Drosophila melanogaster: one gene and its partner. The protein of the gene in region 1 interacts with the protein of each later gene in a pairwise test. Each region holds a gene or a part of one and is shown in the gene's direction. Other genes may lie near its edges.

Evidence for each region.
Region 2: the proteins of CG5376 (region 1) and Tm1 interact in a two-hybrid assay, tested with the Drosophila melanogaster proteins (2 studies listed by BioGRID).

The regions. Positions count from the first base shown.
Region 1 is NT_033777.3:22,487,474-22,491,076, reverse strand, and holds CG5376 (uncharacterized protein), read left to right. Parts: upstream 1-2,121; 5' UTR 2,122-2,194; coding exon 2,195-2,392; intron 2,393-2,443; coding exon 2,444-2,866; intron 2,867-2,926; coding exon 2,927-2,995; 3' UTR 2,996-3,044; downstream 3,045-3,603. Other genes in the region: CCT1 (chaperonin containing TCP1 subunit 1), read left to right, coding at 56-209, 265-1,155, 1,219-1,774; Pfdn5 (prefoldin 5), read right to left, coding at 3,099-3,296, 3,358-3,567.
Region 2 is NT_033777.3:15,279,676-15,284,845, forward strand, and holds the start of Tm1 (tropomyosin 1), read left to right. Parts: upstream 1-1,874; 5' UTR 1,875-1,928; exon of another isoform or gene 1,929-2,182; intron 2,183-4,937; 5' UTR 4,938-4,973; coding exon 4,974-5,087; intron 5,088-5,170. UniProt on the Drosophila melanogaster protein: Tropomyosin, in association with the troponin complex, plays a central role in the calcium dependent regulation of muscle contraction.

The DNA.
Region 1 (3,603 bases):
ACAAGCCTATGCGAAGTGAGGTTATGACTACAACTCGGCTTTTATATGCTTTCAGTTATGGCCGCTCTGTCCATATCGAACATCGTGAAAAGCTCCTTGGGACCCGTGGGTCTGGACAAGATGCTGGTGGACGACATCGGCGATGTCACAGTGACCAACGATGGAGCCACCATTCTGCGACTGCTGGAGGTGGAGCACCCGGCAGCCAAGTGAGTTGTTGATGTGGGAAATCTTTCAAAGAAGTACTCATTTCTAAATTTTAAGGGTCCTGGTTGAGCTGGCTCAGCTGCAGGACGAGGAGGTCGGCGATGGCACTACCTCGGTGGTTATCCTGGCCGCTGAGCTGCTGAAAAACGCCGACGAGCTGGTCAAGCAGAAGATTCATCCTACCTCCATAATCTCCGGCTACCGCATTGCCTGCAAGGAGGCCTGCAAGTACATCTCGGAGCATCTGACCGCTCCCGTTGATGAGCTGGGCCGCGATTCCCTGATTAACATTGCCAAGACCTCGATGAGCTCCAAGATCATTGGTGCTGACGCAGAGTTCTTCTCAGCCATGGTTGTGGACGCTGCCCAGTCGGTGAAAATCACAGATCCCCGTGGGCAGGCAGCCTATTCGATTAAAGCCATCAATGTCCTGAAGGCCCATGGCAAGTCTGCCAGGGAATCGGTGCTGATTCCCGGCTATGCCTTGAACTGCACAATTGCCTCCCAGCAGATGCCCAAGAAGATTGTGAACGCCAAGATTGCCTGCCTAGACTTCTCGCTGCAGAAGACCAAGATGAAGATGGGTGTCCAGGTCTTGATCAATGATCCCGACAAGCTGGAGGCTATTCGTGCCCGTGAGCTGGACATTACCAAGGAGCGCATCAACATGATCCTCGGAACCGGTGTCAATGTAGTACTGGTTAGCGGCGGCGTTGATGATTTGTGCATGAAGTACTTCGTTGAGGCTGGAGCCATGGCTGTGCGTCGTGTGAAGAAGAGCGATCTGAAGATCATTGCTAAGGCTACCGGCGCCGCCTTTATTACCTCGCTGACCAACATGGACGGTGAGGAGAGCTTCGATGCCTCAATGGTGGGAGAGGCCGCAGAGGTGGCCCAGGAGCGCATCTGCGATGATGAACTTATCCTCATCAAGGGCACTAAGGCACGGTAAGTGCAGATTATATCATGCAGTAACATAGTTTGCTTTATCGTATCCCTATGCCTTTTTAGTGCTGCCGCATCCATTATCTTGCGTGGTCCCAATGACTTCTACTGTGATGAGATGGAGCGCTCCGTCCACGACGCTCTGTGCGTGGTGAAGCGTGTGCTGGAGAGCAAGAAGGTTGTAGCCGGCGGCGGCTGTGTGGAGGCTGCTTTGTCGATCTACCTGGAGAACTTTGCCACCTCGCTGGCTTCCCGCGAACAGCTGGCCATTGCCGAATTCGCAAAGTCGCTGCTGGTCATTCCCAAGACTCTGTCCGTGAACGCGGCCAAGGATGCCACTGATCTAGTGGCCAAGCTCCGCTCCTACCACAACTCCAGCCAGACGAAGCCCGAGCGTTCGGATCTTAAGTGGACCGGTCTGGATCTGATCGAGGGAGTGGTAAGGGACAACAAGAAGGCTGGAGTTTTGGAGCCCGCCATGTCCAAGATCAAGTCGCTGAAGTTCGCCACGGAGGCCGCCATTACCATTTTGCGTATTGACGACATGATCAAGCTGAATCCGGAGGACAAGAGCGGCAAGAGTTACGCCGATGCATGCGCTGCCGGCGAGCTGGACGGTTAGACATTCTTCACCGCGAGCGAAGCACATTTCTTCTATCTTGTTTAGGCATTTAATTTTAATCAAATCACTCACTTTCAATTGTCGCCCCATTGATTGTAACAACAATTTAATTGTGTTGCCCTTCGCGATCTGTATTAACACCGCACATCCGCAATCCTTTCTCATCCATGCTTCAATGTATAATAAACTGATCTTCAGAATATGCTGAGGCGTAAACTAAATTGGAGGGAAACAGTTTGTTATTTCGGGAGAGCGATCTGGCCAAGAGCAGGCAGAGAGCGATCCGGAGAGTGGGATGTCCTATAAATAGAGCGTGCATCTATTTGGTCTATTAATACAAAAAGAAAACACATCCCAAAAAGCACGGAAAACGCACATTGCTCTACGAATTTTTATCATTTAAAAAGAATTCTTCATAAAATGGCCGATCATAACGAAGATGAAGCTGTTGGCGGTGACCTAAACAACAATATAACAGCAAATGGGCAGGAGGAAGTGCGTCAGCCGGAGCAGCCGCAGAACGAACTGCTGGACATGGTTTTCACGTTGGAAAGCGAAAAACAGGCACTACTAGAGGAGTCTCGCAAACGGATCGGAGCGCTCCGCAAAGACTTTGAGGTTAGTTACTCGTCTCCACGGGCTGCACCCACTTACTGACCCTGATTGCAGGAAGCCAAGGCGGAAAATGAGCGTTTAAAGCGGAGAGTGGTCCAGTTGGAGCAGTCGCTCAAGCAGTCCGTCATGCTGGGCGGCACAGATGCTCCCAAATCACGACAAGAGCAGGAGGAGCTGCTTCTAAAGGCCAAAACCCTGCTGTTCGAGAAGACCAAGGTGAACAAACAGCAGGAGCAGCAGATATCAGTGCTTAGGACACAAGTAGACTCGATTAAGGATGTGCTGCAGGTGACCAAGGACATGTTGCAGCTAAAGACCGCCGAATGTGATCACACGCAGGCTCGTCTGGAGAAGAGCCAGCAGTGGATCAAGGCGGAGCAAGACAAGTGTGTGCTCACGGAGAAGAAACTAGCCATCTCCAAAGGAGTGTATGACAAGCTGCGTTCGGAGTACGACACCCAGTCACAGATATTCAAGGTGCCTTATAACTCGAGTCCAATGATATACTTGATATACTATTACCTTCTTTCCCTACAGGATCTTAAGTCCGCGTACGAGCAGAAGGTCAAGGTTCTCACCAAGGCTTTGGCAGAAGCCAAGAAATAGCTGAACAATTTAATAAACTACGTTAATTAAATGCACACATCTCGTTAATAAGTTTAATAATTTAATGCTTTCCGTGTCTCGTGTCTCTGTCGTTCTCCGTAGTCTAGGAGCTCTGGGTAACCGCCGGCTGCGATTGCTGCTGCGACTGCAATTTCGCTGCAGCAGCCTGCTTCATCTCCAGCACACTCATCACTGAGTTATAGAAGCGCGTCTTTTGCAGGTGGATCTTTTCGATTTTCTCGATCTGCTCCTGCACGTACTCCACGCGTCGCTTGAAGTAGTCTTTGGAGCCTTCCAGATCCTGTTTGAGAAACAGATGGCAATCAATAAATATTCTAGGTTCGATTGGAAATGTAAATCACCTTTTCAATGTAGTAGCCGGTGCCGATGTCTATGACGAACCTGTTGAGATCCTTGACCCGTCCTGGCACATACATACTGCTGGTCAGGGGCACCAGGATCTGACGGTTCTCCCAATTGGGTTGAAAGGTTCCCAGCGCCTCCTTGGATCCGGCGTACTTGGCTTGACAGCCGTGAAGCGTCGACAGCGAGTCCTGTACGTTGGTAATCTCCTAAGGATCACAAAAATGTACCGATTTTAGAAGCAT
Region 2 (5,170 bases), 7.2 Mb from region 1:
TTTTTCTAACAAGATTGCGCACTTGTCTGAGCCAAGCTGAGTGCTACACACTCATGAACTTATTTAATTCGCGTATATTTTGGAATTATGAAAACTTTGGTTTTCCATAACTAACACATGTCAACGGGTCGGATTCGATGGCCATGATTTCGTTTTCGTATTTAGCAAGTTGCTCAGACTGTTTTGCTATTTTACAATGTTTTTCGACGTTTTCTCAAGGGTCTTTTCCATGTCTATGTCTTCTTTGTTTTTTTTTTTCTTTGTCTTTATAAATATATTGATCTAGTTTTCTTGCTTCGAAAACTTTTTGTTTTTAATGAATACAATTACGTCATTTTGTGGGTGTTGTTTGAGTTAATTTTAAAATTTTCATCAACCTCGGACTGGCAAATGTTCTCCAAGATAAGAGAACAACAAAAAATGGAATAAGTAAATACATATATGTATATATGTTGGGGCTATCAAATTGGCTTATATTTATAGGTTTATATTTAAAGACTTTAGTTGCATTCGAACATATAAGATCTCCAACAATTTTGTTGGCGATAAGATTAAAAGGGCGTGATCAACGAGTAAGCAAGCAATCTAGAAGGGCAAATATGCATATCACCAGATCGGAAACTCAACGATTATGGGGAAACTGAATTTCAACCGTTTTCACGTTTGCAATTTAAAAAAGCATGAATCATGGATGCATTTTCTTGCGAGACAGTTACAAAAAAACGTATACTTTCATATGTGACATTTATGATTGCCAGCAAAATGTTTTCCGTTCGCAGACATGACGTTGAAAAATCTATAGAAAGAGCTTTAATATATAGAGCAGAAAATAATAATCTGTAGACCTATGGGGGAAATACGTACGTATAACTACGTGAAACAAGATTTTTTGGCATATCAATAACTGAAAATTAAAAATAGAAGTTGAGAACATCAAAAAGCAAAACAAAACGATCCCCAAACCAATACACTCTCATCGGGAAAAGAGACACGATTGCCTAAGTATTGGATATATTTTGCAATGGGCAAAAACACTGGGTGAAAAGAGCTTTTCAAAATACGGGGAAATATTCAAAAATAGGCTGAAAGAAAGGCATTCGATTCGAAATGAGTGAGCATTACCCATACATGTGCAGCGAACAGGTGAAAGCACCAAGGAAAGGATCGGAAAAGAGAGGCAGAGAGAAAGCGGAGAGAGAGCGCAGGCGCCGGGCTTGAATGTGTGTGTATAAATTGTAACTGTATTTGAAATTCTGATCTTATGCTTTCCGTTACACTGGCAGAAATCGGATAGGAACATAAATTAAATATATTACGGGCTGAGGGGTAAAGAAATGTTGTACAGCTTTCTTAACTGGCATAGCCCATTTCACTTTGGAGTATTTTCTGAATGAAAAAAACATTTAATATAATTTATAAATGAATTTCAAAATTCAAATTTGTAATAACAAAAGTAGCATGAGTAAATGATGATAAATGATAAGTGCGACATAAATTTATAAATACATTAAATCAAAAGTGCATATTAAATGTCCTGATATTAGAAAGCATGCATGATTACATTAAATATGAGTATATAAATAAGAACAAATGCACCCCTTTGTTGATTTCGCGCAGTGTATAAGCTATTGTACCCCGGCCGAGCAATTTACCGATGCTCTTGGGGTAAATTGAGAGCCAAGTGCAGTTCCAAAGTAGGCGCAGACAGCAACAACATATGCTCGCTTTTGGCCGAAAAGTGCGCACTCTCGCACACAGATACTCACGCACACAGGCGCACTAGCGCGGCGGCTCACACGCACACACACCAGCGCAAGCCGCTCGAAATCGACCAAGCGGCGAGCATCGAACGTCAACATATTGAATAAATATTTTCAGTTGAACATCACAATCCGTTCAAGTCGCGGATAACTCCGAATAAAAGTTTTGTAAGTAAAAAGGAATACGTTATCGTTGATCAGTAAAAAATTATACAAAAAAAAATACAAAGATATCGCTGAATATTTCCACAAAAATACTTGTCGAGTGCTTCAAAAATAATTTTAACTGTGCTAGAATTCGATTCTTATTTAAAAAAAAGGATCGAACCAAAAAGTATAATTACATAACCACAACGTTGCTGCAATATCTAACTTAAAATCCACCAAAGTGCTGTGCAATTCTCAACCCTAATCATCCGCAAGTATTGAAAAAAATTGAAAATTTTCCCAGTTAGAATCGAAATAAACCCAAATAGAGGTTAAGCACCTTTGCAGATCGCGAAAAAAAAACTAAGAATAACGATTCTGGGGACCTTGTCAAGTTTGTCTGCTAACCGCAAGTTGCTATATAGGGTTTCAGCTAAACGTATTTCATGAGATATATAAACATGGTCAGTGGGAACTTCGAACGATCTTAGATTTTAGCGGCAGAAGTAAAGAATTAAGGCAAAAGGAGGATTATCGAGCTCTCTTTCCTCCTTTCAGAAACTAAAATTGTCATGTTGTATATGAGAAAGTAAGGGAATCATTCTTAAGATAAAGATCAATGAGATAGACTTCAAGATAGCTATCCTTGCTATGGAATGGTTTCCTGAATTATAATTTTCTTTAATCCAAAATGTTTAGGAATTCATTGAGCCTATTTTCCAAGTAACTGGGCAACACGCGCATTTACTTTGCAGTTTTGTATCTTTGAAATCTGATCCACGACCGCTGGCCCTAGCTGCCAAATGAATCTGAAGCGAACGTAGGCGAAATGCGCCAAGAATTTCCCAGAAAGCTCCCTTCCTCTCAGCTTAGTATTAAGTAATATCCGTGGAGAGGCTAGATATTCAACAGATGCCTCGGCTGTCCTATTTTTAGATACAATCCGTGTGTGCTACAGATACTAAACAGTGAAATAGAGAGCAGGAAAGCTGCTAGAGTATCGCCCAAGGCATTTGGCTAAAGAATCTATATGCATTAGACCCATTTGAACCAACGTGTGTATATATCGTACTCTAAGAATAGAAAATTCTGTATTCTGTATGATTAAATTCCGAATTTTCCATGCGATAATTTGTAAATTTTGTGTGGAAAGGTAGATCTTATAAGGTCGGATACAGATGGAAAATATCTGTAACTTGTAAACTAGGCAGAAAAGTAGGAATTGCGAGGTGCCAGTTCATAAGGATGGCTTGTTAGTTGGCCATAGTTAGTTAGATATAAAAAATGAGTTATACATATACGCATTTTGTTTCCTGAAATATTAACTTTGTTCCTAATGATAACGTCATTTCTTGATAAGGATGATCTTAATACTCATAAACCTCTTTGGTGTAGGCCCATTTTTCGATTATATATATGTCATTGCCGAAAGTTATAAGATGTCATGGGAATTTTGTGCTGAATCAACGCAAACATAACTCAATGTGTCACCTTAATCGACTTATGGCCCATACACATGCAGATTTATATATATATATATATGTATATCTGTGTGTTTTTTAAGCGAACAAAAAATTTGCCTCGATTGCGTTTTCATTAAAATTCAACGTTTTTTTTTTTTGGCTTTGGCTTTATTCGATTGGCGCTTTTTTCTCCAATGCCACTTCTCTTCGGCGGATCAGGCACAGGAATGTAAACAGAGTTTTTAAAAATAAATGCATGTTTAAGGCAGAACCACACAACAAATGACAGCGATGAGCCGTAATAAAGAATTAAAATTTCACGCGGCGAAATTCGAGTCAATTAGCCGCCGGCTGCACTCGGTTCGAGCCATGACAAATGTTGGTCAAGTGGGTTTCGTGTTGGCCAGGAAAGGCAAAGGGGGTGTCAATGGGCACCAAGGAGGGGCCAAAAAACCCACCAGCTGCGTTCACATTGAGTCAGAAGTCTGGAGCTGCTCGAGAAAAGGGGCAATAGCCCAGTGCAGCTGAGTGATTCATCTTGGGTTTTTAATTCGAGGATGGTAGCTACAGCATCTGCACTTTACTGATAAGAATGCAATTCCAAGATAAAGCGCACATTTGTAAATATAAATTGATTTGAGTAAACATATATGGCACCTAAGAGTATGCAATGATATATGTTAGTTAAAAAAATATATTAAATGAGCTTACTATCATTTCAAATCCTCATTCTACTTTCGAAGATTTAGAAGACTTTATCTATGCAGCAATTTCTTGGCCCAGATTGGAATCTACTGACACAATTTTGGCTGGTGACAGAACTCTCTATTCGAGAATGTACCCAGTTCGTCCAGCTTCGTTTGGCTCCACACCACGCGATCCGATGTGATCTGCATAAATAAACACCCTGCTTTCGGTGTTTCGAAGTATATCCCAGAAAATAAGGTTCAATTTTAGGTATTCTCGTTTAAATGATTTACTGTGACGAGATGAGAAAACACTCTCAAAGTTCAGAACATCAGCGAAAGAATCGGACAATAAAAGTCGTGAAGAGACGCCGTCGAAATATTAAATTCTCAATTTATCAGTTGGCTAAGCTCGAACAATGCGACTGACTGGCATCGAAAAGGGGGCCTTGGTTGTTTCGGTTTTGGCCAGGCCGAATAATTTATTGACTCTGCCACCTTTCGTCCAAAAATGGCTATCCATTATTGCAAAAAACTCGCTGTGTAGCTTGAAATGGAAGAAAGATCTGCCAGTTATTTTGATAACATGCAGATAAGATGGGAGCTTTAAAGTTATGAATTTAAATACATATATGTGCAGAAATCAGATTGCAGGATCCTCATGTAAATACACAAGTTATAAAATTGCTAAATTAATCATAAAATGCAAATGCATTTTCCATATAGTTTCACTTTCGCACAAGCCATGTTTGGACTTGAATACTACTCCCCTTGCACTTGCTGATTATCGCATAAATCTGCTAATTGCTTTATTGGCTTGCACTTAACCATGGTTTTAGCCGCAATCTCATCTCCATCTCCATCTTCGTTTCCAATTGCAGTTTCTTTCGAGTGCAGAGTAGCAAAACAAAACAGACATGGATGCCATCAAGAAGAAGATGCAAGCGATGAAAGTCGACAAGGACGGAGCTCTGGAGCGCGCTCTCGTCTGCGAGCAGGAGGCACGCGATGCTAACACCCGCGCCGAGAAGGTGAGTCAACCACCCACTTCCCTAAACCCCAGTGCACTGAACAAAACAAAAGTTTACTTTCAACATTAATTTACTTGCCAAAA